4 linked regions of the Drosophila melanogaster genome follow. The protein of the gene in region 3 interacts with the protein of the main gene of each other region in a pairwise test. Each region holds a gene or a part of one and is shown on either strand. Other genes may lie near its edges.

Region 1 (7,617 bases), on a different chromosome or scaffold from region 3:
ATGGGAGTTTGATTTAGACGCAAAGGATATTTATCGTTTCGGTAGAACGATCCTTATAACTTAGAAATCCTTAGATAAAAGAAATCAGTTTGTGCAATTTTAGCATGATTTCTCACATTTTGAATTACGAACTCTAATCTATGGTTTTATTGCTAAATATGTACCTCAATTAACTCTTATAACTAAGGATCACCTAATTTATTTACTTCATTGCAGGTCGGAACATAGTGAGCTTCGCGACGTGATTATCAAGTCGAATGCTTCGGGAATCGCTCTGGACCAACAGAAGGTGGACCAGTACATCAAGGCGATGTCTCTGAATGGCAGTGAAAAGGTTGTCAAGGTGCTGTTAGATTAAGTGTGGGACCTATCCTAATCCAGCTTCATTTCGTGCAGGTGAACACCGAGAAGCTAGCGGCTATGTGGATGTATGCCACCCAGATGGGAAGCCTGCCGCCAACAGTCCGCAAACTGACGCCTCCATCGCGGCAGATCATGCTCATTCCCTCCACCGCTGGCAATGGGGTAAGCTGAATCCTAAGATACCAAATCCAGTGAGTTAGTACTCTAGTTTGTGATGAGCTAGTAATATGTATTTTTAATATAAATATGAACCAAGCTCCGGCTGTTGAAACCGAATATTTCGGGTGCGTTTAAACCCAATTTGAAGTTTTTATTTAAGTTTCTTATTCGTTTCCTACATAGAAAGAAAAGATAAGTTTACTTTGAAATATTGAATTTTTAACAAATAAATTTTGCTGAAATTTTAAATACAATTTTTGTTCTAATAACTATATTCAGATGGCACCACCACCGCCCACACGCTTGCCACCTCCGCCTCCGGGCGCCAGAGCTGGACTTCTGCTTCCCGTGCCCCCGCTGCCGGCGCAGTACCGTGGAATGACCCTTCCCTACATGCGACCTGGGCCCGGATCCGTGACCTACGCCCACCCGGCTAGCCTAAGCGGGACATACCGGACTCACAAGAGCACAAAGTCAGCGGAGATCAATGGGCAGCGAAGACGGCGGCGGGCGGGAAAGTCTGATGCCAATCGCCGGCAGCGCCGAAAATCGGAAGCGGATGTCCTGGACGGTGCTCCCAATTTCCAGTATACGGGTCTAGATCGAGCCATAGCTGATAGCTTTTTGGCCAGGCAAGAACAGTCACAGGCGGGCAGTCACGTCGACTATTCGTCGTCTGCCTCCTCGGACTTGTACGGCGGTCAGAGGGCATCCTTCAAAACGAAGATCGTTTGCCGGGATGTGGTGATGTGACGGGAAAAGCATCCGCTCTCTAGTTCCCAGTTTCCCAGACTTTTGTATATATTTTTTTTACGGAGCCACAACGAAATCCCATCTATGTGGGGCTTTGTCTGATAAATTACCCCTTTTATATCCATTACTCTATCAATGTACTTACATATGCGTATAGCTCTTAAGACACATTAAAATTAATCGAATAAAGATATATTAAGCAAACTATTTCAATTATTCGAGCATTGAATTAACTGATTATAACGTATCTACAAAAGCAAATTTAATTTATATCTCGCTTCTTGGAGGAATAGATTAGCTAAAGTCATACAGATAACGATGTACTTAGTTAGGGATCCTGGCTATGCTTTGACTTGCACAGTCCCACTTACCTATGTACATGCAGAAATCCATCTTTGACTACACTTTGATTGCTCATCATACTAGTCACCATATCGCCAGACAATTCGTGTTACTGCAGGAACCGGAACCCTAAGGCCGTCTATTTGCGAGACGGTGACGTATTTGATTGTGACGTGGAAAGAAATCTTTTAATTGCTTGATGGGAATATTTTATTTACTTTTTACAACCTGTCTGCCCTCTGGCTGAGTTTATAAAATTAGCAAATAAATATAAATATTGTAGTTATCCCTAGAAATCCTCATCGCTGTGATGCTCCGCTTTATTGGCGGTCTTCGGTCTAAGTGGCAGTTCGCCAGTTAACTTTGAAATGCTTATGTCATCGATCGAGTTCAGATCAACTAGGGGTGAATGAGGTAAAGTTTTGTTATAAGTTCAAGGCGTAACTACACGACTTACAATCATCATCGCCGGCTCCCAAGGCAATATTGCTCATCCCACTTATCCCGCTGATAGCGCTCATGCCACTCATTCCGCTCATTCCGCTCATGCCCATGATTTTACCCACATCCAGTTCGCTTTCGGAGCTCCCGAAGCTGCTGTCTTCGTCCCGGGAGTTGAGCATACTGCTGCCGGGTCCGTTGCGGCCGTTTAGCTGGGTGCCATCGGCGTCTCCTCCAGTCGCAACACCTCTCCTGGTGCCGCGGGCTGCCCTGGCATCATTACCACCATCCGGGCCGGCTGTGCCTCTTCCTGGGATTTTCGTTATTTGAGCAGGGAAATAAGTTTGTGAAATTAGAACTTCCTTACCTCCTACTGCCTTCCTGCTTCTACCCGTTGTGGGTCTAATCCTGGAGGTGGCGGTACCAGGACGTTTTCCCTGGGCGGAAACCATGTTGTTTTGTTGCATTAGTTTGTCCTCGTCCCGTATGTCGGGTATCTCTGAGTCCAGGCCGAAGACACTCCTGCCATTGACCACCATTTCGAGACGGGAAAGTGCTTTGCCGCCATCATCGCCCTCATCCTCGTCATCCAGATCGTCCTCGTCGTCGTCGTCATCGTCGTCCTCGATGAGTCCCTCCGGGATGAAGGGCATTGAGTTCTCGGCGGGCTTTTGCAGAATGGGTGAGGAGATAGGTGTGGCACGTTTAGTACGCAGGTCCAGCTGGGACTTTAGAGCATCGCGCACATGCAGCCTGAGAAAGTAGCGCTGGAATAGCTCCTGCAACTCCTTCTCACAGTCCTCGAATTCGGCCATGTGCGCTGGTCGAATGCGATGCAGTGCCTCCAGTCTTTGGCGGGTTCGCTCGAGCTCCGCCCGACGGCGCTGCAGCTTTGATCCCAGAGCATTGAGCTCCACCTTGGCTGCTTCCAGTTGGGCTCTACTCGATTGGAGGCGAACTTGGTTAGCTTGGATGGCGCTCTTCAGGGTCCGCTCCACGCTGAGCAGCTCCAGGGGTCGTTGGGCCTGGGACATTAGCGATTCCTTGTGGAGCAGTTCCTTCGAAAGCATCTCGCATATGGTTGTGCCACGCTGGGTTAGGTCTGTGGCCAGTTCTCGAGCCTTACGCAACTCCTCTATTTTATCGCCAATATCCACGGGATTTAGGCTCCGGTACTGGTCCCTTTGGTCCTCTTCGTCGTTGTCCGCTTCGTTTTGTCCTGGGGATGTCAAGAGTCGGGTAACCTTCTGTAGCTCTGCCGCCGTAACCGCAGCGGCTGCATACAGTTTTCGGGGATTAATACGAATGGCTGCCTTGGTCACAAAAAACTCGGTCGCCGAACGGACGAGAAGAACCCGCTGCTCCTCCGATTCAACGCCGCCGGGCAAAGTGGCTCCTGGCTCTATTAGTCCTGCTAGCCATTGAAGGAGCTCGGCAACAATGTGGAAACTGGCCAGGCTGCCATGCTGATTGGCCAGGGATTGGAGGGGAAACACGCGCGGGAACCCCAACAGCTTAAGATGTTCCCCCAGATCTGGAAGTGGAGTATCAGTCTGGTCGTGTTAGGTGGAGGAAGTAAGAGGAGGAAGTCAGTACGCACCTCGCACATCCTTGAAGGACATTCCTGGCTTCCAACGAGTTCACCTGTTTTTCTTTGGCTGCTTGCAATCGCTGCGGCTGCGCTGGCAATTGCATTTTCAACACCGTCATTTGTTGTGGTCGTTGGAGCTTTTGTTTGGGCCACCGAATCCCAAATTGATGGTTGCTAGGTAACGGAAAATGCATAGCGAGAAAATATGATAACGAACTCTAAACATTGATCCATTTCTAAAATATATTATTAATATTAAACTAAGATTATTGTCAACAACAATGTTGGTAATTTTAAACGGAATTTTAATAAGAAAATATTACATAAAATAGGAATTAAGATATATGTACTAAATTTCTCAAAAACAGCAATACATGAAACTGAAAATAAAAGCGAAATAAAATTAATTTTAACTTAAATAGGTTTTAGTTTTTTTATTTTAATACTTAAACAAATACAGGTTACTATCACTTGCCATATGAAATTTCTCGCAGTGTCCCCCTGCTATCCTTGGCTAATATTCATTCGATTGCTGTGGACGGTCGCACGGGGTTCACCTGGGAAACGGTTGCGCGGTTTCCATTCCATTAAAAATGTAGGAGTTGCTAAGAACGAATTATTGAAATACGATAATTGGGATTTTTACAAATTAAGCATACCCGACAGAGGGCGCCACTATCTCAACTGAAATTGACCTGTTGGGCACATAAATTTCAGTTTTTCTATATATCCTTTATTGTTCTTGTAATTTACTTATCATTGCACAGATTCAACACTCTGTTGGGTTATCGATGGTGTGATATTTTGGGAAGTTTGCGGGCGTTATAGTGGGCAAGACGACGTTCTGAAACACACTAGAGCTGTGTGTGTGTCACATTAGCTTTTACAGTGTATATACATATATACATATGTACATATATAGCTTATAGTTAATATTGATCGACAGATGGAAGATTCCGCTTGTGATCCTCATCAAGAATTTATATTTTCTAATTTTTTAGTTTTTATACAATTAATGGATATGAAAACCAAATAAAACTCTATTTATTTAAAAAGTCGAATGAACCCTGTTTCAATCATACAAGCGCACATTCAAAATGCCTAAAAGCGGCACTAAATTTGTTATATCCTTTTAGTAATATTCTTATGAAACAGGTAGAAGGAAGCGTTTCCGACCATATATTGTATATATATTCCTAATATACAATATATCCATGTTCGGCCGGACATCCGTATGAACGTCGAGATCTCAGAAATCTATCTATTTTTCAATAAAAGCTAGAAGGTAAAAGAAAGTTAAGAAGCATACAGATTCTAAAGACGTAGACGCAGTGCAGTTGCCCATGTTCCCAAGCCCAGTCTAACGCCCACAAACTGCCTAGAACTGTCACGCCCACACGTTTGCTAAATGTTTTAATACTTTTTCATATTATTATTAGTCTTTTAAATTGCCAATATTATATTATTTCCCAATATCTATCGATATCCGAGAAAAATTATGAAATTTCCCATTCGCATTTCCACTAGCTGAGTAACGATGAGTATCTAATAGTCGGGGAACTCGATTATATCATACACTCTTGTTTTGCTTAATATGGGGAATACGGATTTTACTAAGTAATAGTCTTGGTGCATAAGGAATAAATACATACCAAAACCAACCAACCACTAACGTGTATCTTCTGATAGTCGGAGAACTCATTCATAGCGTTCTCCCTTGTCTTGCTACGCATATTCTGATACTAGGGTATCAGATAGTTAAATAATTGAGGGGTTGTGCTCAAACTGTTTTTGTTTTTTGTATTTTATAGCGCACACAAATGTATTTTAAACCCGATCAGTAGCTGGAGGCCTTGTACTCAAAAATTGAGTAACATTATGAAATTACAATTGCTTTCACAAACTTCGCGTGCTTTGCTTATTGCGTGCATTTTCAAACTTTTTTTCTCTTCTATTCGCATCGATATCATACCGTTTAGTTATTGACTATCTCGTTATGGTTAAATTATTTCTGGACAAAAACCCGCTCGTTACACATACATATGTATCTATGGTGTGTGCAATAACATTTATTTGTATAAGAAACTAAAAAAATCAATGATTGATTGTAATAGTGTGAAGTCTAAGAGCTCTCAACAGGTGTTATTTATCTGTGAAATTGGCAGACAGCTTAATTTGTTAGATTTACAAGTTTTCTCGTTCATAAGCATGATCAGAAAATATATGAATGTAAATATATTTTCAGATCATGCTTATGATAGACTTATTAATCAATGATCAACCCAAATAAAATTCCTCAAATTAGGAGTTCAAATAAATAAATCTGGAGATCTCCTCAGCAACTACTGGAATACAATGCACGGCAAAAAGGTGATGGGAAAAGAGTATGTAAGGTTTTTTTTTAAATTATTATTTATTAAGTGAAGAATCCGTACATCATAATATTGTATCTTAACATCACAGGTATGTACAGAGTATGTAAGTAAAATAAGAGGTTTACATTTACCAACATGTTTAAATGTACTTAAGGATACCAAAACGAATTTTTAAAAAGGCTTTCTATTTGATTTTCATCGGTGCAAGTGTTGTACATACATATATGTATGTATGTATGTATCTGCTGATTGAAGCTCTACAATTTAGCGTTGGACAGTTAAGAGGGCTTCCCAGCCAATAGGAAGTTGAGTACATATATTTTTTCAAACTTCCGTTTTCATTGCGTTGAAAGGTTAGGCGTTAAGAAAAATATATATAAAATATTGATATAATTAACGAGTGATGTATTGAAAAAGTTCCTATCCGATTGGCCTTAGTAGGGTTTCCACCTTTCTTTTCCACTGACAGATTAAAAATATTAAAAGCAAACCCTATCAGGTTGTGACCTTACTTTTAACCTTATTTTCTCAGAGACGTTTGCATATAGTCATAACCACAGCTATGGCCCCAAGGAAACGGATCTCGAGGATTGCATCACGCAGTGTGGCGACTGTGGAGCAGTTCACTAAGCGCATCAACTGCCGCTCGGTTGGCACCCAAACCGATATCCTGGCTAAGGGTCCGGCGAAGCGCAAAAAGGTCGAGAACAAGGTCAAGCTGCTGGATTCGCAGCCACTGTCGTCCCAGTACTTGGCCATCCATCTGATGCCGGCAATCAATCCACTGGCAACTGAAACAATAAATCGGCGTCCGGATACATTCTCATATTTTCTCCCCGGTCCAAATGAGAAGTCTTGCCAGGCTGTGGCCGACCGAATCGCTGACGCAAGCGATCGGGTCATCACCGCTAGCTCCGGAGAACGGCAAATAAACCACCTGAAGTCTGTGGTGAGCAACCGCCGCGAAGAGGCCAACCAGTGGGATCGTAACCGTCTTGAAATTCTGCTGGCCCAGATCAATGGTGACCCGCCGCCGCGCTGGAACTCGGCCACCCAATTGTGGCTAGAGGTTGACATGCTGGAGAAGCGCATAGAGGCCTACGACCAAGAAGAACTGCAGAATGCCAAGAATCGCAATTTGGACAGGAAGCTAGACGGTGGGCAGGATAAGGGGCCGTCAGATGAAAAGGACCAGCAGACTTTGAAGACTTTGAAGGCAACGTAGCCTTTTCATATTTAATATTCAATGGCTAATAATGGTGGTCTATAAAGTCGAACTCGACTTGGATTTATACACATTGCATTCATTTGTACACACAAAAAATGGATTCGTTTAAATACTTAGACGATTCATTTTTTAATTATGACAACTGAATATGAATATGATATGATCAATATGATGAAATATTGATTTGCAATCATTGCCGTGGAAAATGGTAATCTTAAAGCAAATAAATCAGCAAAAATATGTGGATTTATGAATTACCGTAAAAATAGATTTATTATTTTAAGGACGCTTGTTGTAACCATTGATAATGATAATTTTTTTTAAACAACACATTTCTAGCGGCCTTCCACATTCGCTGTAAGTGC
Region 2 (11,018 bases), on a different chromosome or scaffold from region 3:
TCTGTTTTGTGTTTGCCTACTTCATTTTCATTTCGTATTTGTTTTCTGGCCTAATCTTTACCGTAAAGTTGGACTGGCTTTTATCTCTAACCGTTTGGGTTTTGTAACTCGCGATGGTCAGAAAGTCATGTGTTGTTATTTTTTGTTTTGGGCATTGCTGTTGTTTTTGGGGTTTTATCAGCCATTATAAGCAGGTCGCTGATAAGGCGACCGTCAGATGTAATTTAATTAATTACACGACAAAAAATACATTTAAACAAAAACTATACGATTACAAATTACGCATTTTCAAATTACAAATATGTAATGAATGCATTTTTTAAAAAGCAATTCTCTAATGTAATTATCAAGCAGTAATATTTAAAGATATTGAAGTATATTTGTAAAGGAGTTTCATTGTTTTTCCACATAAAATTTGGAGTGTTATGAATTTGAAAAATCGAAGACCTACGACAACAACGTGGAAAAGGATGCGTTGCAAGTGGCACGTAGTCGCTGATTTTTTCTTGTCTTTTTTTTATTTTGTTTTCTGGTGGTGCAGGCAACTGGAAAACTCACACGCACACACACCAATGCACGACGCAATTAAATTTTATGACATTTTATGTAAAGTCGCAGCACGACTTCTCTGCCGACGTTGGCGTCGTTCCTCTGTCGCCGGTGTGTCGACGTGCCAAAATCCGCATACTGAAAGAAAAACTAGTGAACCCGAAAGATAAACAACCCTTTTGCTTAACCCTCCAAAGACCCGTGAGAAAGACTGTATGCACTGACCAAAAAAAGAAAAAAAAACGTACGCAAACAAATATAAATACAATTTCCGCTTTGTATCTGAACTCAAAATGATTCTTAGACCAATACCTATTATGTGAATGTTGCATTCGAATTTAATATAAACATCTGTTTTTGATGTGATAAGATGAGATTATTTCTTTTAAATTTTCTCCAAAAACTATGTTTAACAGTTGTCATTTTAGAGGGTTAAACTAGCATCCAATGCGAACAAGAATAATTTCTGCCTTAATTCTTTTTTTAAACTTTTTTTTTTTTGAGCCGGCGTTGGGGCGCAACACGTACGCCAAAAAAACAGAAAGCCAGGGGGAAAACAACAACTGGCGCACTCTCGCACATCACACACATACACATACGCACATCAATATAAATGGCGTTGCGGAAATCTGAAATGGCATCAAAACTGTGGAACTGCGGACCTTGAAAAGCGCGACAAGAAATACTAGAAACGCAGAAGCAGAAAACACAACATCACAAATTCGTGGAGCACAAGGCTTCCACTTCGAGACGACGAGACGAAACGATCTTGTCCAATATTCTCGGGTATCTCGAATAGCACACGTGTGTGCGTGTTCCCGCTCGACAACGATCCACCCATTTCGATTGGATCCCCCGCCCAAAAAGACAAATGAAACAGAAGCAAAATCTTGGGAGCGGACTTACAATTACAATACAGTGGGCACTAGCTAAGATGGCAATCAAATATAAAGTATTAAATATTTTCAATTATGTTTTAAGAACTCTTGATTATAGATATGTACATACATATCTACATATGTATGTAGTATTAAATTAAAGTATTAAATTTAAAGATTTAAAATCTATTATTTAAGTAGTAAAGTTTTTGTAAAGGTATTTCTACTGTTTTTTTTCACCTTTTTCGCGCGCGCGTTTAAATTACGCATTTTAATTTTCGGCAATTGAGTTTTGGAGCTACTTATGTAGATGTCATGTGGATCGTGGGTGTAATGTTAAAAGCTATTTGTGACGTCATTAGTCGTGTGTCTCCAATTTTCGTTCTTTATTTGTTTATTTGTTTGCAGGTGCAGCAGCAAATAGATTATAATTTATGTATTTGTAGCGGGCGCATGCTAAACTGCACACACTCTACACCTACATATGTACATACATATGTATGTATATACTACATGGTTGGAGACCCTGTTTTGGTGGTCATATGTTTGCAGTTGTTTTGTGTTGCTTTTGTTGTCCCTGGACCTGGTGTTACGTGACGGTCGGAAAGTCAGCAGACAGCCGATGCGCCGGTTGTTCTCGTTCCAAGCACACGTCCACCCCGAAACAAGTGACGTTTATGCATTACTGTGGCTAATATTATGAATAGGTATTATCGAGATATCAAATACGCATCTATCACAATAATAAAATAATAGAAGTAATATTTAACTTTAAAGGAACACAGACAAAAGCAGAACGTTCTAGCAGATAGTATGTATGTATGTATATGTATGTATAGATATGTTCCATTATCTTTATAAACGGATTATGTTCAATTTATCTCGAGTTCACCGCCGCATAATCCGCTTTGGAAACTTCCCGGCTGCTCACATGTTTTGGTTTTCCGTCTGTATTTTCAAGTTTTTGCCTCCGCAGAGTGCAGTGCACTCCGCTTGCCGCATTCGAAACGGTAAAGTGGGGGGCCTTCGATTTTTTTTATTTTGTACGTAAAGTGTTGCACTTCTTGCGGGGAACCAGTGCTTGCAAAACTATGGGGGATTTATGAAAGCATTGATCTTGATGGGCAGTAAAAACTATTAAAATGAACCAAGATTAAAGGGAATTAGTGGAGCTGATAATTCCCTTTAATTTTTGCCGGCCACTGATATATCCATTCCGAATCACTACCCCCTTATTAATTTTTTCGATGGTTTCTTTTTTGTTTTCGTTTCGATGCAATGTTTTTTGGGTCCAAGTCCACTGGCGCTTATTTGATCAAGACTATTATACAATCTTACACGTATGTACAGCTGTGTATGTATGGGTGTCCACAGTGAAGGTACTAGAAATAGTGCTCCGTTGCGAAGAATGATCAGCATAGTGCATTATGCTTTTGGACAATTTGGGTTATAAAAAATAGTTTAAGATACCTTTAATGGTGGTAAAATGCCAAGTGCTTGAAATTAATTGGTATGTAACTGAAAACGATCTTTTAATGTTATTAGTTTTAAAGTGTTGTAATGATCCTATAATATTTACCGCACACGTGTGGGTGTAAGCATGCGTTTTGCTGTGGAGCAATGAAGTAGAACAGCAACGGAAAAACAGAAACTATTAGTGCGTAGGTATTTGTGTTACTTCATTTGTATGTGTGTGCGTAGAGGGCACTTTTCGGGGAAGTGCGTAGCGAGGGGGGAAGGGTGTCTTGGGGCATATTGTATTGGACCGACAGTTTGTCACACGCAGCGACCTAAATACGCACATTTTATGATATTTTCATTTTGAGTTTTGGCTTTTGTTTTTGGATTCCTTCGTTTACGTTATCAATTGGAAAACTGTAGTCCGTGTATGTATATGTGTGTGTAATCCCATGTTTATGTAATGCATTTTCTTTGGGCTTTATTTTGAAAACGAATACAGTTCTCCATTTAAGCGAGGTTTGACAATCACTGGGTTTTGTGTTTGTTTTTGCTTCTTCTTGTGCTCCTGCTTCCTCTCCATTTTCTTCTTCAACCGGCTTACATGGTCTTGCCTTTGTGTTTGTACTTACATATATACAGCCAAGGGCGCAAAAATATGAACTAAAAAACTTAAATACTAATTCCTCCGCATCTCTTAAAGCTGGTTTTAACATTTGGGAACGCTCATATTCAAAAATATTCTTGCGACACATATGCATGTGTATATTAATGCAGCTCAAAGTTTGATTTCGTGAACATTTGAAAATGTAACTACTAATATTTTGGCTTCAATAGTGTGTACTGCCTGCTTGTGGTAACCATTCCAAGTAGCAGCTGTTCTCCCTGCTCCCTTCTTATGCTGTCCTCTCCCTCTTCATCACACAAAACCACACACACACACGCGCACTCCCGCTCACACACACTCAGAAAGACCGCTCTGCTTTTACAGGCGTCGACGTCGACTTCTTTTCTTTGCGCAGCGATGGTTTTCAAAACGAATTCGAACGCTTAAGCGAACGGTTGTGTTTACTCCCAAGCAAAGATATCCAAAAAAAAAAAAAACTGAAACCACAGAGAAATCAAAATAGAAATTAGCGGACTCAAAAACAAAGTGTAACAAAACAAAGCAGAAAAATAAAGGCAAACATTTTTTTGTGGTGCATCTTCGAAAAAACCGGTTGTTAAATGCGCGTTGCAATCGAAATAATAACAAGAGTTCAACAACAAAATCCCTAAAAAAAAGCAACGTTGCACATTTTCTCGAGTGCAGTTCAAACTGTAAGGAAAACGTAGCGAAAATTGAGGAAAAATTTAAGAAAACCGAGGTTAAAACTTGAGCGAAAAACAAAATGGCATTCTCCATCGTGAGCCGTGGTATTTTGCGCACTTCAAGAGAAATTCTGGAACGCAACATGGCCGCAACTGTCGGCGTTCTGCAGCAGAATGCCTCCCCGCCCCCAAACACGCCCATTTCGCACAGCGATTGTCACGTAAGTGCATCTTTTCTTTCAGTGCATTGTAGTTAAGGTTACTAATTGAATTGACAGAAACAAGCAGTTAGAAAAACTTAGCATCACAAAGCGGACAGGAAAGAGCAGTTCCTAAAACAAACTTAAAAGCAACAGTTATAAAATAAAGAGTTTAAAACCAGTTCCACAAAAGATGTTCCAACCAAAAAGCAGTTCCGCATGATATAAACTCAAAACAAAGCAGAAAAATAGAATCGCAATTCGAAAAACAGTAAGTGGTGGAAGGAGAACTGTAAATAGTGAGGAAGAGGGGTGAATACAGACAAGCAAGGGAAGTGGAGAATGAAAATTGGGAGCGGGAATGTTCACGAAACGAGGCCAGTGCTAAGTAAACTGTAGCAGTGCATTCGAAACTGTAAGAACTCGAGTTCAATTCTTGATTAATATTAATAGATATTCCCAACTATAATTCTAGCAATACAAGAGAGTTTGGGATTATTAATTCTCTAATTTTTATTAACTTTTCATTCCCGCATTATTAATTTATTGTTGTTAGCAGCAGCATTATATATTGCTGATTTTTGGTTTCAATTGATGATTAACTATAAAATACGTTTAGGTGCTGGCAAATTTCTTGCACATCAATCATTAAAGGGCGCAGCACTTCAATCAATCAATAAGAAATTGAAAACCCGGCGCCGAAAGAGGCATATCCCTCAATGAAACAAATAAAACAAGATACAGTAAGATAAACAAGTGGAAATTACACACAAAGAAATGTTGGTATTGAATCAATAGATTCAACAAAATAGTTCAGTTAATATATAAACATGTTTCATCTTACTCCTATGTTGTTAGCTTTAAAAATACCGTCCAATAGTATTTGCATAAAAGTTTCGGTTTTGAAACGAAATTTATGATATTATGTTGACACAACATACATTAATTTAACCAGCTAAGCCAATATTAATACTTACTGGTATTTTTCACCGTGTATTCAGGTGAAAGCTTGTTTTCCCTTCTCACCGACAACAACCCCCTCATTTTGAAAGTCGGAAAACTGCGCAAATTCTGTAGCAGGAAAATCTTGCGCAAAAGCATTGGAAATTATAACAACAAAAGTACCCCACCTCCCTTTACTTTTTCTCTAACCGCCACGGAAAAAGAAGTTTTAGAATCACAGGAAATGATTAAAGTGATTTTATTCGCAATTTTTCTACTTCTTGTTTGCTGCTAAATTAACATTGACCTGTTGCTCGACTTTGATTTTTATTTGCCGTCTTCTTACTCTCTGCATCTTCCACATATAAATCATTGGCATTGTTTTTTGTTTAATTTTCTTATGGTCGAAACGTGTTTCTCTTTATTTTCGAGACGCGCAGACATTCAAATGAAAGGAGGCCCGTTTTTTGCATTCATTAATTCGTATTTTGGAGAAACTTGTTTACGAAAAAAAAAACACCGAAAAACAGAAACAATCCAAAGTTCGTTTAACCAAACGAAGCAACTGGAACCGAAAAAAGGTCCCAAAGCAGTCAGTCCAATACAATAAGTGTGCGGGCTTTATGATAATGTTATATGGTATGATGCATGATATCATCGTCGTCGGTGGCTGGCAACATCTGTACTTGGATTCTTTCTTATCGAGAGCCATTGAAATTCAAAACGTTTACAAGAGAATTCGGTTTCTTGTAATTAAAAGAGTAGCGAATTTTGTTTTTTATCTTTTCCTAATGGCACAGGTGATGGAAAAAACCTTTCTCCGAACTGGTTATTGGCATCAATATTTATCTTTTTTAATTTTCAAAGTTGCAATGTTGGCAGCAAAGGACATTGAATGTATTATATATGTGTAAAATACCGTGTCCTATATTTACATATATTTTATATATATTGGAAGCTATTTTCCTGCTGGTTTACAATTTCTTCTTTTAAATTCGTTACATACATGATCGCCACGTGGTTTTTTACCATTACCAAGCGCCTCTCAAACTGTAGACCGAGTTTTTTGAGATACATTTTGACAGTCACTCTTTGGCACTTTTAAGGCGAACCAAAGATGGAAAACTCGTAAAAAAAAACAGATAACGACGAATCAGGTTTAGAATTGTTTTGTGAGTAAACAGAACTGACCTTAACAATGAGAAAATAACACGCACAACAAAAACAACACAGGAAAACAGCAGTGCGCTGAGTTGTAATTAAAAACATAATGATTGCTTACACACCGAAGGGCGTCTAGCAACCATATCAACAACAAAAAGAGCATTCAGCATGGGGCTGTGAAAACCGAAATATACACAAAAACAATACAAAACAATAGCATAATGATTGCGTAACATTATTAATGACACGTTAGCATCTCTTTTTTTAAAGCACAATCAAAATGATTATTATGATAGAGAAACTTATCCAATACATTTTGCATTTTCACATTTTTCTAATTTCCTTTTTTTTTCTGATTTCAGCGCCTGGCATCTGGCGGCATTATCTGTGGACATGGAGCACATTCACTGCTTTGGCATCAAATGCCAACTGCCGTGGTCCAGGCTGTCCGTCAATATTCAAAGAAGGCCGGAGCGGCCAAATTGCGACGGGAGGTGGAAAGTGATAGCGATTCCGACTCGGATGATGAGTTCGAGCGTCGTCGCCAGAAAATGGATTCCAAGCGCAGCGAACGGGTGAGTGAACTGCTTGAGAAATGCATAATCCATTAAATAGATCCATAAAACACACGGTCCACGTGGCTGAGAAATTTCAATTGTGTTTGCTCGACAGGCCGAGAAACGTGTTTCGAAATTTGTTTATCGTGCTCAATGTCGTTTTTTGAACCTGCTCTACGGCATTTAAAAAATAGTCCAACATTGTAACCTGGTTAACAGTGGCCATTTAACAGTAGTAACTGGTTTGAGTGCAGACTGTTTTAAGATCAAAGCTTTGTTGTTTGGTTATTAATACGAAATCTTAGCTTTCTCAAAAAAAGCGAATTGAAGCTTAAAGCAGTTGCTTGTATCCTGACTATACTTGCCATCAAGCAGTTCCTTAAAGTCCTTTCAAAGCCTTTTGGTTAAAGCTTCTAAAAGCTCACAAGCAGTCGCTGCGCGTCTATGAGATAAGCTGATGTTAATAAAAGCATTTTAATAAGGACAGTCAAGTCCTGCAAAGCTTTCAAGCTTTTACTTTTCAAGTCCTTTTAAAGTTTGAAAAGAGCAAAAGGCTTGGTTGCAGAATTGCAATGAGCTTTAGAGTTTAAGAAGCTTTTAGCACGCCCTGTGAATGTTTTAAATCAAATATAATTAAAATTTAAAATAAAATCGCAAGGCAAACCAATTAATATGTATATTTTTCCTCATTTTTAGGGCGACTCAGCATTCTGGCGCCGCAAAATGCGTACTCTCCACCGCATTTTGGACGTTAATCACGACGGCGTCGTGTCCTTCGACGACTTTAGTTTGCTGGCCAAACGCTTTAGCGATCTGGGCCATTTGACCCCAGAGGTCGCTGCCGAATTCAACGATGTGATCAAGCATACTTGGGAAGAGCAGTTCGGGGAGATAACCCCATACAATCTGGTAACTGCCGAGCAGTTCCTCACCGATCTGCACCATCGTCTCAACGACAAGAAGATGGCCAAACGCATCGGTCGCTTCCTGCCCTACTTGTTTAAGGTTAGTTTCATTGTTAAGTTGCTATTATCGATAAACAGAAAAATAATTTTTCCGGTTTTTTTTTTCTTAGGCTGTGGACTTTGATCACACTGGCCATTTGGATCTCGAACAATACAAGCTCTTCTTCCGTTGTCTGGGACTGACCGAAGACGATGCTGCCGTTTCATTCGCTGTGATAGACAAGAACGGCGATGGCCAATTGTCGCTCAAGGAGTTTGTGCATTTGGGCCGTCAGTTCTTTTTAACCGAGGACGACTCGAAGATATCGAAAATGTTCTGGGGACCGCTGGTCGCTGATCATTGACGGGTTGCAGTCACTGCTGTAGATTACAATACAACCAAATCAACAATAACCCAACAAAAAAATCCTTACTACAATCAAGATTATCAGAACCATCAACACAACAACGTCCGATGCCATAACATCGGCAACAATAACACCAATGAGCCAATGCTACATTATACATTGAATACGACAACGATGTTGGCCAATAACAATTACAATAAGATAGTGGCCACTTCGTTGCCAACTCGCGTGCAGGCGGCAGGCGGCAGTTGGCTAAATCTACAGCATGTGGCGCCTCATAAATCGGGACCGTTAATAAACATTAGCAACACCACCACGATCGTTATAAGGAACATGAGCATTTACGATTATTTTCGGCAACACTTGTCCAGTTCGAAGCGCCAGCGCTCGACCTTTGAGCCCCATCCATCGCCCACTACGTATCCCGCCTCCAAGTTGCGCAAGCACAACTTTAGTAATTATCAAAAGGAACGGGAACGGGAAAGGGAAGACCGACAGAAAGATAATAATAATAATAATCATCGAACCAAGGGCAAACCATCATTAGATGACTACGATATAAGATTTTTTGTCTACCTTAACTCGCTAATAATATTCACAATGTCGTGCAGTCGTCAATCGGCCGCCGAGGGCGATGACCTCAAGCATTTCATTTGCGACCGGATCCGGAAATTCGATCGCCTACGACGAAAGGCAAGAAAACGCCGCAAGAGAAGGCCCAAAAAGCTGGTCGAGGATCAAATGCACCATTTATAAACTCTGAAAAGTGGAGCTACATACTATTCACGGTCACCCTATTTACCATATAATCGATTATTTTTTTTTTGTCTAGTTAAGAGTTATGTTTAACTGATATATTACACAATACAGCAAGCATGATATAACGGAATAAAAATGATTTTTAAATATACTATAAATAATACGAGCATATATTTTCAATTATTGGGTGATCAAGCGATCAAAAATGGTTTTCCTAAATCTTTGCGACTCTGTCCACTTATAGATTTTAGTTTATTATGTTTAAACTATTTCCCTAATTGCATATAGTGATTTGCTTATGATTATCCTGCTGCAGGTTTATATTTAATTCATATTCTCAATATTCAATGGAGAAAGGCAAACAGCAGACGCTACTTCCTTCTCATTTTATTTTTAAATGCATTTTTTTTAAATGTTCCCTCCCTTGGCATCTGCGGCCACATATCATTATGTAAGCGCCAGCGAAAAGGATTTGCGATATCAACTGAAAAGTGTTTAGCTGGATGTTGCGAGTCTACAAAAAATGTTACCTAAAATAGAAGACGGGTTGAGCTACTTTTCCAATACTCTACTCTACATTTTTAAAAGACTATACACTTTAATGAAATGCTAGGAATAAATATATATCTCCATCATATAAGTGGTGTGTCATATTTTGTTGTAACATATAGTATCAAAATCTAAGACATACCCTTTATTTTGATACAAAATGGCATACACCCAAAATTCTATAGATAGGGCATGAAAAAGAATTACGTTGTGGAAAAGGGCAAGAAAAACTTGTCGCGCGTAAATCTCTGCGATGGCAACCTCCCACAGCCGTCTAGGCTGGCTGACCAGAGCTCATTATGCGCATTTGTGCTGGACGGGATAGAATGGGGGTTCCAGAGGGCTTCCCCCGACATAAGGATGGTACGCCCGTTTCTTTCCTTTACTTCTAGTCCTTCGCACTAATTTTTTTTCCAGCTGCCCCGCAGCCTCTGTTTCCCCCCACCACCGCTCGTTTTTTATTCATTTGTAGCTAATAATTTTAATGCTATTCAAAATTATGTTGAAAAAAAAAAAATATATATATATATATATATATATTTATATTTAAGAAGGGAGGGCTGAGTGGGCGATGGAAGCCATGTGAAAGCATTTTTCGGGACCTCTCACACACACGAGCTGGCGCTTATAAATTGCATTTGTATCTAAAAGGACATTAATTTTGGTTGCACGTTAAAAAAAAACAGCTTTCTTTTTAATTTCTAAACACAAAACAGTGGTTTTAAAATCTAAGGAAGTTTTGTATACGAGTATTAATAATTACTGAAAGATTTGCCTTTGCAATGTTCGTTTTCTTTACTCAAGGAATGCAATCACATAGAACCCAACAAATTGAAAAACGAAATTATCCTTCCAGTGCATTTGTGAGCAAGCAGTGTCCTGCTTTCTGTCCCTTTTGCGCATTTCTTACTCGCTTCAATATTTTATAATTTAATTTTTTTCCTTGAATTTTTTTTTTTTTTTTTGGCTGTGCCACGCACATGACGACCATCGCTAATCCTTTTGCCTCACATATACTCTAGGAAAAAAATCACACACACTTGCACTGCTACATCTTTCATTATGTAAATGCACGCTTTACACATTTTTTTTTTTCAGATGCACTGTCCACTCTGGCAGACCAACCCACCACCCCCACCGCCCATTTTTTAACCATATTTTTTATTTCCCCAACTTGGGATTTGGCCGAGTGTGTGTTTGTGGTTCTATATGAATAAAATATATATCACATACTCACATGTAACTGGTTAAGTACATATGTAACCCGCCTTCGTCGACTCTTCTACTAATTTACATCTTTTACTCTCCTTCGCTTGATTTTTTTCGTGGTCCATCCTCT
Region 3 (6,810 bases):
TATGACTTTGAGGAATACAACTAATATTAGGGCGTATTTTAAAATTTTTCAATTTTTTTTAAATCTTTTTCGATACTAAAATATATTCTATATATTATTTTTTGTTTTTTGATGTATTGAAAATACACATACCCTGCAAGTCTTTAATTGCCGGGTATGCAAGCAAAACACTCAATGAAGGAGGTCCATAGCTAATGGTTTCGCTACTTTCCATAACAGTTAGCACTCGGATTCTGGGTTTATTATATTGACTTTTTGTTGTTGGTTTGCGGCTGGGCTTTTCCTTGGCATTTTCCCTTCGAAATGAGAATGCAAGAAAGTTGGAATGGGGGTAGGAAGAAAGAGAGACGCAGAGAGCAACACCTGCCCGTCAGTGTGTGGGTGTCTGTTGTGGTTTTGCTTTTCAGATGTTTACGTCGAAAGCTCTCTCAGTATTTCTCGCTCTCCTCCCACTCAGTGCGTTGTAAGAAGAGGGGAAAGAGCAACAAGGAGAGAGCGTGCCCCGTTAAGCCTCTCAGGAAACTTGTTTCGGACTTTGAACCGCTTCGATTAAAGCGTGTTTTGAAAAACACCAAACAACAACTATGTCTGCGGAACGAAATAAAAAAATTAAAACAAACAAACAACAACAAGGCAACTGCAGACTCAACTAAAGTTTTGTAATAAAAACAGTGCTATTTGTTTAGTGACCATTTCGGGCAACAAGTTTTTACCAGATTTGTGACCCAATTATTGCCAAACAGGTTGGAGTCTCTCAGTTTTTAGCTTTTTTTTCGGGCCGGGGACGGAAAAGGGGGCGTGGTCAAGAGAGCGGGTGAGTTTCTGGGCCAACGGACTTTTCACACGGCCAACTGCCCGCCAGACTTACTTTCTTGAAATGGTAACCAATTGCAGTCTCCACTTTCAAATCAAAATGCTAGAAAGGGCGAAACAATAAAGAGCGCACAAAGCGGGAAAAAACAATAAGAACAACACGGGAAGGACGACGGACGACGAAGCAGCAAACAAGAAAATGCAAAGACGCGCGCGCAATGTTAACGTTGTAAGCGTTGCGGTGGCAAAAGAGAGACTGAAACTGCGCCTGAGAAGCAGAAGCAAAGGCGAAACGGAAGCAGCGGCCAAAGAAGAGCAGCAACAAATCCACCATATGATCGGGGCAACAACAACAACTGCGGCCCAGTGGTGGTGGCTAAACAAGTTTCAAAAGGGTTAAGCCATCAAACTTCTGCACTTGTCTCTATGTATACTTAGTTATGATTTAATCAAAACGCGCACAGCCATTTTAATTACCTTTAAGTTGCACAAACTTATGTTTTTTTGTTATGGTTCAAAGCACTATTTCGCTTCTGTGTAAACTGATCATTAAAATAAGATGGTGCCTATTAAGATGTAAAGAAATGTGTTCTGAAAAAAAACAAAAACACATTTCAGATTTTTAACACAGGATTACATACATATATCCTGCTACATTTGATTCCTACGAGCATTCCTGATTTAAATAGTAAAATAAAATGATACTCTGTTTAATGAATGTAATATATTTGCTTGTTTAAATGAAACTTTTTCATTTTAATAAACGCCTTATCCTACGTACGAAGTAAACTATTCGGTTGCAGGAACAGCCGGCTCCTCCTGCTGGTCCTTTTCCTTGCTGGACAGACCGCGTATGCTGACATCGTAGACGACCTCCTCGATCTTCTTGACATCATACTTTAAGGCATCGAAGCGCTTTCGCAAGCCATCGTTCTTCAGGTTCAGCAGACGGAAGCCCGTGTTCAGGTCACCAATAAAATGGGAGATATTCAGGGGACGCTCGTAGTCGCCCATGGTGACGGAATTGGTAGCGAATCGGGAGAGCTCCGACGCCAACTGCAGTATGCCCAGTAGATAGTCCTCCACATCCAGATGGAAGCCCTCAGACTGGCTGATCTTCACTGTGGAGTAATTAACTATTATTTCGTATCCAGAGAGCCTTCCAAATCTAGCTTACATCCCAGCATTTCGGCCACTGTTTCGCGGGTGACCAAGAAGCCCGCCTCCAGGTAAATAACCAAGGCAATGATGAAGATCAAACGCTGCGTAATGAAGGTCCAGTGATCGGAGTATCTGGAGAAGGCGGAGCATTCGACACCCACAATAGACACCACGGATTTCACCATCTGACTCACCTGTAGTACTGCCCAGCTGGCACCAGTTCGGCCAATTTCTGGTACTTTTGGGCACACAGCTCAACCTGTTTGCGGGCTAAGCCGCAGGCGGCACTAACTATTGTTCAAGTATAATGTCATATTAGAACAAAACATACAAGCTACCAAATTGTACAGAACTTACTCTGGCTCAAATCGCTATGAATAATCTGCAGTTTAATCTGCGCTTCCTTTGACAAATGCTCGATTTCGCGCACCACAATGCGGATGTTCTAAAAACAATGGTTTAAGATGGTGGTTTTTAGGATATTAACCGTCAACTCACCTCCCTGACTTCCTGTTCATTGTCTATGTACTTTTGGTAGTTGGAGAAGATGTCCAAGTTCACGAAGTTCGACATTTTTGCTTAATGTTTTGCTGCTTTTGTTAGTTGTTTATACCGGCGATAGGGATGGGAGTATAGCCAAGCAATAAGTCTAGCAATGCTATCGATATGTCACATTGTTATCGCTTGCCCAAACCAGTGTTGGTGAACGCCCTTCTTGTCATCTGTAGTTTCATTAAAATTGTTTTGTCCCTCAAGTTCCAATTAGAATCGAACTAGGCTCGTGACAAAATGTCTTATGTGAGTGTGTTTATGCTTAAGAAAGTGGATTAAATGTACTTACTACCGTTTATCCACAGGGACAAGGCTATAACCCGTATGCCCAGCCCGGTGGTGGCTATGCCCCGCCGCCAGGAGCATTTCCGCCGCAGAATGCCCAGGTGTCTCCGCAGGCACAGCAATGGTTCTCCATGGTGGACCGCGACCGATCTGGAAAGATAAACGCTTCCGAGTTGCAGGCGGCCCTGGTGAATGGGCGTGGCGATCACTTCTCGGATAATGCCTGCAAGCTGATGATAAGTAAGCTTAAGCCCTGCCCAAAAAAGATCCCAAAGTTTCCTCTACAGGAACTGTGACGTCAGTAGGTGAACACTAACAAACGTGTATACACTGTATACTATACAGTAGACCCTCTAAAAGACGATCATAAGCTAAACTAGTTTGGTAGGCAATATAGTAACACAAGAACACAAGAACAGGTTGTCGATTTGAATCTTCTATGCGTAGCCTAGCACACCCGCTGTATGCCAAGAACCAATGAAGGGCACATGGGCACATATATTTAGATCATCCTGTGAGCTGATGATAGCTAAGTAAGCTTCAGTTATGAAATACTTTAAAATTCCTTCGATTCCCCTTCCGGAAACTGTGACGTCAGTACTCCCCTAACAGACAGTCAGTATCAATTTAGTTATACTTTCGGCTATAAATGTTTCACTGTATTTATTGCCCCAATTTAGGGTACATGCATATTTGTTTAGATCACCTGGAGCGCCAGACACTTTTCCGTTTGTTTACCCTGCGATTTATGTTGTATTTTTATCGCCTTTTTTAATTTACTCAACAGGCATGTTCGACAACGACGCCAGTGGTACCATCGATATCTATGAGTTCGAGAAGCTCTACAACTACATCAACCAATGGCTGGTAAGGTATTTCTTATATCGAAACTAAGTAGTCTGACTCATTGTATCACTGTTGCAGCAAGTCTTCAAGACCTACGATCAGGACTCCTCTGGACATATCGAGGAACAGGAGCTGACCCAAGGTAAGCTAACACAACAACTGAATCTCCAATTCCTTTATGGCCTTTTACACTAATTACCAAACTTGTTGGCAGCCTTCACCCAGATGGGCTTTCGATTCTCGCCCGAATTCATAAACTTCCTGGTGAAGAAGAGCGACCCCCAGGGCCACAAAGAGGTGTCCGTGGATCAGTTCATAGTGCTCTGCGTGCAGGTGCAGCGTTTCACGGAGGCCTTCAGGCAGCGCGACACCCAGCAGAATGGAACCATCACCATTGGGTTCGAGGACTTCCTCACCGTGGCCATTGGCTGCTCGTATTGAAAGAATGATTCAATGCAACCGCTCCATGGGAATGCATCTCCACAGTCTTGCACACACACACACACACACTACAGCCAACAGTGGATGATCATAAATTTCGCGACTGGTGCATTTTTCTTAAATTTTCAACGGTGTTAGCTTTTTAATATGTAAATGAATCACTCCACAGTCATATTGCAATCTCCTGGTATCAGAATCAAATTTCAAAAGTATTTGTTAACGCAGTTCGACTCAATAATCATAGTACAAAGTCTCTTGCGCCTAATAATAAACTATACACACGTATTTTTAAAAATTAAAAGATATCTGCGTTTTATTTAAAATGTAAACATTGTATATGAAAAGTTCATTATAAAATCATGTCTTATTTTAGCAGTCACACTGCCCACAGTTCGTAATCGTGTCTTCGTCGATCGGTGAAGACCACGTGATATGCAGTTAGGAATTATAATCTTATTAAGTATACAATCATAAAATATCGGGCGATTCAATGTGACGGCACACAAGCTTAATGGTAAGATACAAACATTAATATCAGTTAAAACATTTAGGCATAATAAGTGTTTGGTTTTTGGTTTGGGAATCGTACAATGTTCCAATTTTTTTGTTTTTTTTTTGGTCATGGGTTAATAATTTTTAAGATACAATAAACTCAGTCTTAAAGTCCATAAATATATGAAACGAATGTCTTCAGGGCGAGGAATAGTTGGTTTTCAATTGGTTAATTAATGGTTTGTTCAGTTGTCAGTTCAATGCAATTCTCTTAACTAATTCAGTCATAATGTATATCATTGTAAATGGCATCGATTGAGCTTATCGAGTAGTTACCAAAAGTTTTGGTCTTAGTAGCTTAATCAAGCCAAGTCAAGAGATCGTTGGATGGCAGAGGGTTTCTGGGCAAGATGCTGGGAACTTTTTGGAAATACGCACACGGCGAGGCGAACCCTTTCTAAATACTTTTTTTCTGGACAACATCGTGATATCTTAAATAGTAGAGACCTTAGAAAATATTTGAGTGTTGTTTGATAATATTTTGCACACTTAATCGTAAGTATAAAATTGACATTTGGTGAATGATCATTTTATACAATTTAAGAGATATTAACTGATGCTTTAACGCATAAATGCATCGTTAGAAAAAAGGCTTTAAGACTAATTTGATTATATGCTTGATTAGATTGGCTTGCATTTGCTTACATTACATAAATTACTACAAGTAAACATTAAATATTTGGGATGACACATGAATGACAAGAAATAAATTTCCACAAATCCAATGGACAAAACAAGACACCAGACGTAAAATATATTGTATATCAAATGGAAGCATCACTCGGTCCCCGTACAAATTTATTTGGTTTCAAGCTCTCCCTTCCCATTGAAGTCGATGATCAGCTTGCCCTGCGAGTCATCGGACATGGAGCCGCTCATCCCGTTTTCGCGATTCATCGAGTACTTCGATCTCCTCTTGCTGGGCAGCTGGGGCAGATCGGTGTGGTGCTTCCTCACATGGACACCGAGATTGCCGCGCTGTTTCGACTTGTAGGGGCAGTAGGGACACTGATGCGATGGCTCCTTGCCGCCACACTCGACATTCTCGTGGCGCCGGAGTGTGGACTTCCAGCGATACTTCTTGCCGCAGTGACGGCACTCGTATACGGGTTCGCCATCCAGGCCGATGCCATTGGGACTGGTGGTGCTGCCATTGCTGCTGCTGCCGCCATAATCGCTGAGTGTAAACTCCAGGTTGCGGAAGGCCTGATGGGCATCTAGAATCGAGCTGGCCGATCCTCCATGGGCATTGGCATTGAACATGCCCATGCCGGAGTTGTTGCCGAACTTGCCACCGCTTTGCTCCATCAGGTGTATGTCATCGAAGGCATGATAGCGACCCTCTTCGTCGTCCTCGGTCGAATAGCCCGGTTCGTTCTCACACTCAGAGTGGCGGAGGTCGCGCTCTTGCTGCTTTCGCAAGAGGTTCTCCAGAATTTTAGTGGGTGTTATGTCGCCCCCAGCGATTTCGACATCGTTTTCCTCCTTGATGCGACGATGGGGTGTCTGTTGGCGCAGTATCTCCTGGGCACGCAACTGCTGCTGGAAGTTGTGCAGTCCATTTCGCATCAGGGCCTCGGCAATTACGGCTGCCTGCGGTTTCGGAGTCAGAGCCGCCGCACTATTGGCCACCAGCACCGAAGTGGGTATGGCCGTGGTATGCTCCGTGGACGATGCCGCTGTCTTCAGGGTGTATTTGGGCCTTGGATGAAATGAGGCGGCGGCGCCAGCGGCAGCACCCACCACACGCGTAGCTGTGGCGTTCTGAACTCGCATCACTTCATCAGCATTCAAGTTTTTTGAGGCCGTCTCGGAGGCCGTACCATAAACGGCAATGGCCGAAATGGTCGAGGGATCTAGGATCTCACCGGATGTCGGCGAGACCTGACGGTGCGGCTGCTCCGCCTTGGGCACCTTGGCCGATTTGGTCTTGTAGAACTCGAACAGCATGTCGGAGACCTCGGTGACGGACAAGCGCTTGCGCCGAGATCCGGGCAACTGGATCTTCTGCTCATCCCGCTGCTTGCCATTGAGAATGCTGCGCTGGAAACTGCGCTGAATCTCGGCGGTGGACGCCACATCGGGTGCGGTGTTCTCCTTCCTGCTCAAATCTGCAATTGGAAACATGGTTGCGATTGGTTAATTTAGTTTCTGGGTTTT
Region 4 (6,585 bases), on a different chromosome or scaffold from region 3:
AATTGATATTTACTAAACACGATAAGATTTACCGGTTTACTTGTAAGGTAAATTGTAACAACCTCCCGCTTGCGCAGCGCGCAGGGCGAGGGGCAAAAACAACACAGCTTAGAAATTGCTAGTTGCTGATAAGTTTCGCGAACCGAAGCCGTCACCGTTATGCAGTGACTAAAAATAGATTTTGTTTGTGAGATAAGCACACGATCTGCGCAAATGTTTGTGATGGATCACAATTACGTTTTTGTTTTATCCGCGACTTCTGTGAACACGTCCACTCGATTGCTCATCTCCCATATTTGCGGTAGGTCAGCGGGTCACTGAAAAGCGGGGGCGAAGTGGCTAAAGTGGATCAATTGGCTTGGGGGTGTCGCTTTAGCCCCGCGAATTCCCACGGGGCGGCAATTTTTAGTCAAATGGAATATATATTTGTTTTATTGTTTTTATCATCAAACTAGTGTTGAAGTTTTTTCATGCCATTTGTTGTTTTCAATTGCAATATTATCCCGTGTCGCACCAATACCATCACCCACTATGGCATCCTTTATTTTATACAAATACACGCTGTTCGTTTTTTCTTTAATATTAATTTCTATGTACATAAATTTAGTTGTTCGCGATGATGTTGGCGGCAACATTTTCGACAGGCTTCGTTGCATTTAAATGTCAAATGGTGGGCGTGGCTGGTGGGAAAGTTATGGAAACTTTTCTCTAGACCGCATAGATACTCTGGATGCACTATAGATTTAGCTGATTTGGTCAATTTTTGATTGGATTATATCTTGGGCTGTACATATATCATTCCTGTCTTCACCTCAATTGAAGAGCTATTTTAATTCGCTGTCATTTTATATGGCAAAGATTTTCCTTGGCAGCGTTTCATACCTACCTCCCATTAAGTTTTTTATAATTACCTTAATCCTTGTAAAGGGCACTTCCAGACTCGCACTGCCTAAGCCTTTTATAGCTTTCATTATTCCCGCTGGGTTTTTAAATGCTTAATTTATTTATGTATGTTGCCTTTTAAATTTATTTTGTTGCCGCCGCTGATAGTGCTGCTGTAGGTGGGTGGCGGTGGGTGTCACGACGGTTCGTCCTTGCCGCGCGGTGGACATGTGCATATTTCATGACAAAATTGCATATTTTAGCGCAAAGGCAAAGCCAAAAGCCAGCTACGTATCCATGGCCGCCGGTGAAGCTTTGGGTTTTTTTTTCGCAGGACTCCATCTCTTCCTCTTTTTGCCGCAGAGGCCCCCTTGCTGCCCCGCCCATCGACGGTGTAAATTTCAAGCCAAGTGTAACACCTTTTTCCTGTCATGATGATTTTAGAGGGTTTGGGTGGCGCTTGTGTCTCTTATTGTGTGTTTTTTTTTTCGCAATTTTCGTTTTTTGCCATTTGTTTTTTCGCTCAAATTTACATACATCATAGTCATTGCAGTTCAGGGCATTTTGATGGAAACAGTTAACTTTTTAAGCCGCAAATTGAAAGAAAATAAAATGTTAAAAAAACATCGCTTGTGCTCTTTGTGTTTCTCTGATTTTGTTGGTGGCGACTTTCAATTTTGCCCGCGACCAACAGAAGGCGGCATCCCCTGATTTTATTTGCGATTTTTTTTGCCCTTTTGTTTTCAGTGTTTGTTTAGTGAGATTGATTCGATTTGGGCAGCGCACGAACATTGAATCGCGACAGTAAATCTATGTTCACTCTCTAACTTTCAGATGTTATTGAAAAATTTTTATTCAACAACCATTGGAAAGGAACTAAGTTAATGTATTTTTTATTCGGCAATTTCCCTGTTAAATCATTTAATTCGAATAACGCTCAATCAAGTGCATCAGTTCAGTCCGGGCCTTAAAGACGTCCGCATACAGCTCTCCATTGACACCACCATCGGAGCAGTGTTGCCCGTAAATGTCCACTCCGCACAACCGATCCTGGTGGAGGAGGACATCCCCCTTTGCCGTCTGGCAGTCCACCAATCGGTTTGAATTAAGGGCGCACAACATGGTCTGCGTGATGAAGGCGTTCTCATCCTGGGCATAGCTCCTTTTGCAATTGCTATTGGGAATGAGTTTGGTGCGCAGGAAACGCAGATGTTGCTGTGACATGTACATGGTTACATTGTCATTCCTTCGGAGAGGTGACTCGCAGAGATCAATCGGATGGACGAAGGGATCCTCCAGTGGAGCGTGGAGCAGTAATAGGGCCATGTCCTCAATAGCGCCGGTAATTAGATTGGCCACCGAATATATCCGACTCCGACTAGCCTGCAGTTTGTACGAACGAGGTGGAGGTTGACGCAGAGTCCTGGGAAAACAGAGGGCGGAGGTTAAAACCAGACGAGTGGAGATTAGAGCACCACTGCAAATGACTTTGTTTTCATAAAGGATTCGCATAACGAAATGCTTCACTGCCTTTGGTGCCTCTGTTGTGGCTTGTCCATCGGTAAGGAGAGTCTCGATTTCAGCGGGAATTATCTCTAGGCTGTTGGGTTCTTTGTTGCCTCCGCTTGAGAATCTAGCGGAAATTTTCGGTGATCTCTGGTAGGGATAGGGCACTATATACTCAATAACACGAACTATCTGATAGGGCTGTCCATTGCTGGGTATTTCACCCACATTAAACTGCGGAGCGGTCTCAGAAGATCCGTAAACTGATCCTCGGGAGACTGCTAATATTATGACTAGCTGACTAAGCTGCATTATGACATTTCAACCGATTCAGTCTCAAATCACAACAATTAGGTTTCTTTCCCCGTAACTGATTTAAATTCTTCACTTAAACCATTAAGTTTCCGGATCAAATCGCCGATCATGGGCTGCAGTTTGCCTAGACTTATGTAGAGATCACCATTGAGTGCATTTTGAAAACAGCGAAATCCATAAACGTTTAAGCCACATAATTGATGGTCTATAAGTAGGACATCACCTGGAGAAGTTGCACACATTTCCGGATTCATTGAGTTCTTTGCACACAGCATACTGGGAGTTATAAAAACTGAATCCTCTTCCAGGAATGTTGTCTTGCAGGCACGATTTGAGATTATTTCAGTTCTTCGACGGCCGTAATATCTGAGATCCGAAGTGGCCATCATCATTGATACTCTTGTGCCCAATGGTACGTCATATTGGCATAGGGCAATTGGATTGATTTCAGACGGCCTCTTCAAGTGAAGAATGCTAAGCTCAGGACAGAAATCCGCTTTGACTACATTATCCACAGCGATAGTTCTTCCGCCGGTGAAGATAATTTGCAGCGGTTTGAAAGAGTCGTTTGAAAAGCACTTACTGGAGGTGATGGCCAAACTGGGAGCCACCAAGGCCGCACTGCATCGTACCGCATTTCCCACCTTTATCTTCGCAATAAAGCTGAATTGCAAGTGGCTCATCCCGATCTCATTTTGATATTCCAGTTCCTGCCTTCTGATTGGCTTGTATTTGTTGATGATTCTAACTATTTGACGGTTTTCTGACAACTGATGGTTGCCTCTTCCGCCACTAGGATATATCACATTCACACGACAATCCTTGCAGAGTTGAGCTCCAATCGCCGCTTCGCAAAGCTGACAAAACCAAAGCGCTGAAACACAAACAAGCAGCGAATGCATCTCCAATCGACTGATAACCAGCAGATGACTTTTATTTATGGGCGAATGGAATTCGAGGCGCCTGTCAAAGCAACAAACGTCGCTTCGATCCACATGGCGTATGCGTAATCAAAATGTTTTGCCTGCTAAATGGCAAACATAAACAGTTGACGGCTGTCAGTTGTTGGCAGTTGTTGCGTGTTGACAACGTGTCAGGTCTAATGACCAAACAAAGGTAGGGCACACAAACATTTGAAGTGCAACTCGATATCCTTTTGGCTCTCCGGCTGGGGGTTTAAGAATGATAAGTAATATTACCTCATCGTTTAGCTTTAAAAATGTTTTTAAATCAAATCAAGTGACTATATTTTAGAGATTATCTAAAGGATATTTTAAAATGTGTTAGGTAAATGAAATGAAAGAATAAAAATATTGTAGAAATTAAGGATAATAGCAAACTATCAACCATTGAATTCGAATTCGCGATGTGGGCGTCTTTCGTGGAAATCGAAAATTGTTTTTGTGCATTTCAGCAAATTAAGAAAAATGGCAGCAGCTTCGGCTGGACCTCTGCTCATTTACTGAATTTATGGGCGGCGCTTAAACTGAATTGACAATCAATAGTCCCTCGAAGGACGAGGCTGGAGGACACGCAGGATAGCAGAGCTCATAAACAATGCGGCCAATTTACATGCCCAGGGATCGACCGCATGTGTGTGTCTATCCCAGTGTGTTCCACCATGAAAAGGACCTTGTGTTGCTTTTATTGTTATCGTTGGAAATGAAAAATTGTCCCTTTGTTGCATATAAAAACAATGGGCCAAAGAACTTGAAATCAATTTCAAACGTTTTAGGCAAAGCCAATTGATTTATTTGTTGTGCGTCTTTCTTTCTCCGCTTTTGTGCTAGTGATTGTGTTGGTGGGTGGTTTTCGAGCCCATTGTTTTGCATTACTTTCGCCTTGAATAAAGCCCTGGGAGCTTTACTTTACCAGGTCCTTGAAATGTGGCACCGTTTCCCAACTTAAAGCTCAAACAATTAACACCGAGTGCCGAAAGTCAAGGGCTTCGTGCGCTGTTTTTCGCTTTACACTTGATAAACTTTTTATTACTTCCAAACAATTTAAAATCGAGAGCGAGTGGTTGGTTGGTTGGTAGCTGCCTGAATTACAATAATGCTCCGCTTGGGTTCGGTTTGTTGATGGCTTCGGCCAATTGGCAAGACAAACGGCTGCAGCTGCTTGCGAGGAACTGGAGTGAGGCTATGACAGCATTCGAATTCGAATTGGTAATTGAATAAAAACAACGAGTGCGAGTAGTGAGCTGGCCAAACAAGTCCCAGATGGATCTGGAAAAACGCTGTCTTTAAGACACTGGCTTACGTAGATCCCAGGCTCTTGTTATTCCTAGTGCACAGGAAACAAATGTATATTTTTCTTTTTGGTTTTTTATGACACTACTGGGAGGAAACATTGAGGCTCCAAGCACGACGATTTTTGCCGGTAGTCAGCGTGCCTCACGGAATGATCTTATTTCCGTTCCAAGCTTGAGATAACCACTAAAAGATTAAATATTATATATATTATATTTGGCTTACCTTGTCTTAAACTTCTTATCATTAATTTTTTCCAGTGTCTGATTGCACGGTTCCTGACACATATCGCAATGCAATGGAGCATGAAATAAATGAGAGGCCGCCGCTTGGATGCGACTCGAGAAGTAGTCCTTCCGGCGATTTCCTTCAACCAAAACAAAATGCCCCGCCAAGCCAAGGCACCACCCTCGATGTCACTGATGGTCTTTGGACATTTTACGCCTTTTACACAGTTGACTGCATAAATTCATGGCCGGGATATGGTTACGCATTTTAAACAACACTCTTCGGCTAAATCCGGAATCGAGTCAAGTGATTCCTGCAGATGGGTTGCGGTGGCACGAAATGGACCTTTGTTTCTTCGAAATAAGAAGGAACTTGGCAAACATCAACATAGCTTGGCAGCAAACGGCGTGGACTACAAATAGCTGCAGCAGCTTAAAGCTGATTTAACAAAGTTGGCTCTATCATCTGTCGCACTTGTTGCCCCACTGCTCGGGACCAAGAACAAGTTTTCTTTTGGCCCCCGAGCATTGCTCATTATTGCGAAATGTTCGGGGCTAAGCTTTAGTTTCAAGTTTGATTTGTTTACACATGAGTTTTTGGCGAGACCGACGGGAGATTGTTTAGCTGCCAGCTAACAAGTTGCAAATTAAGCTAAAATGTGTATTTTGGCAAAAGTGCAGGGGGTTCGGTGGGTGGAGGTTCTGGGCTTCTGGGCTTCTGGGCGTTGGGTGCTTAGTGCTTGGCAAGGACTTTGGTATACAAATACATGCATGTAAACGAGCATAAAAACCGCACAGTCAAACGCACTAACAAGCAGCAGTAATCAGTGTGGCAGCAACAAAAGTGAAAAGCCAACAACACACTTGCTGCATGCAGCACATGCTGCAAGAGGAAATTACATGCACAGAAGTTGAAACAATGGCTGCAAGTCTGGCCCAGCCCAGGCTTGCTGCTCATCACCGAGCTAGCCATCGCCAGCGCCATCATCATCAGCATCCCCGTCGTCCTCATCATCCCCCCCATCATTATCATCATCATCAGCAGGAAAAGCAAAAGCGGCAGCATCAGTTGCTGCGGGCAGGACACCTCCCCCAAAAGGCTATTGACCCAATTTCTGGGCAAACAATGGACCAGCAGAAAAGAAATCACAAAAGCGTAGCCAAATCTCGGGACCAAGCCAAAAACCACTTGACAATCCTGGCTAGATCTGCTGGTGCTGCACAGTGAAAAAAATTGAAGATTTATCTTGCTTTAATCCGGAAATCCGAAAGTTGATGGTCATTTAAGCTACAGCTTAGTAAAGTCCAAATATTAGAGTTTTTATGGGAGAAACTGTAAAGGAAATATGGTTGAAATAATTTCAGTTTCACGAGACCTTGAGGTACTTTATATTTGGCTAAAT

What was found.
Region 1: the proteins of trsn (region 3) and Cluap1 interact in a two-hybrid assay, tested with the Drosophila melanogaster proteins (one large-scale study listed by BioGRID).
Region 2: the proteins of trsn (region 3) and CBP interact in a two-hybrid assay, tested with the Drosophila melanogaster proteins (one large-scale study listed by BioGRID).
Region 4: the proteins of trsn (region 3) and intr interact in a two-hybrid assay, tested with the Drosophila melanogaster proteins (one large-scale study listed by BioGRID).

The regions. Positions count from the first base shown.
Region 1 is NC_004354.4:22,540,544-22,548,160, forward strand, and holds Cluap1 (clusterin associated protein 1), read right to left. Parts: upstream 3,780-7,617; 5' UTR 3,681-3,779; coding exon 3,659-3,680; intron 3,593-3,658; coding exon 2,426-3,592; intron 2,369-2,425; coding exon 2,075-2,368; intron 2,017-2,074; coding exon 1,907-2,016; 3' UTR 1,843-1,906; downstream 1-1,842. Other genes in the region: CG17600 (uncharacterized protein), read left to right, coding at 217-343, 397-525, 802-1,275; CG17601 (uncharacterized protein), read left to right, coding at 6,587-7,249.
Region 2 is NC_004354.4:7,333,440-7,344,457, forward strand, and holds CBP (sarcoplasmic calcium-binding protein), read left to right. Parts: upstream 1-3,912; 5' UTR 3,913-4,276; coding exon 4,277-4,417; exon of another isoform or gene 4,418-4,811; intron 4,812-6,864; coding exon 6,865-7,077; intron 7,078-7,755; coding exon 7,756-8,064; intron 8,065-8,134; coding exon 8,135-8,368; coding exon of another isoform or gene 8,369-9,127; 3' UTR 9,128-9,292; downstream 9,293-11,018.
Region 3 is NT_033778.4:10,477,492-10,484,301, forward strand, and holds trsn (translin), read right to left. Parts: upstream 2,621-6,810; 5' UTR 2,548-2,620; coding exon 2,473-2,547; intron 2,420-2,472; coding exon 2,332-2,419; intron 2,266-2,331; coding exon 2,169-2,265; intron 2,107-2,168; coding exon 1,991-2,106; intron 1,935-1,990; coding exon 1,603-1,934; 3' UTR 1,520-1,602; downstream 1-1,519. Other genes in the region: Pef (peflin), read left to right, coding at 2,764-2,772, 2,832-3,051, 3,599-3,678, 3,736-3,799, 3,872-4,098.
Region 4 is NT_033777.3:28,786,637-28,793,221, reverse strand, and holds intr (intrepid), read right to left. Parts: upstream 2,701-6,585; coding exon 1,804-2,700; 3' UTR 1,761-1,803; downstream 1-1,760. Other genes in the region: CG34295 (uncharacterized protein), read right to left, coding at 2,739-3,605.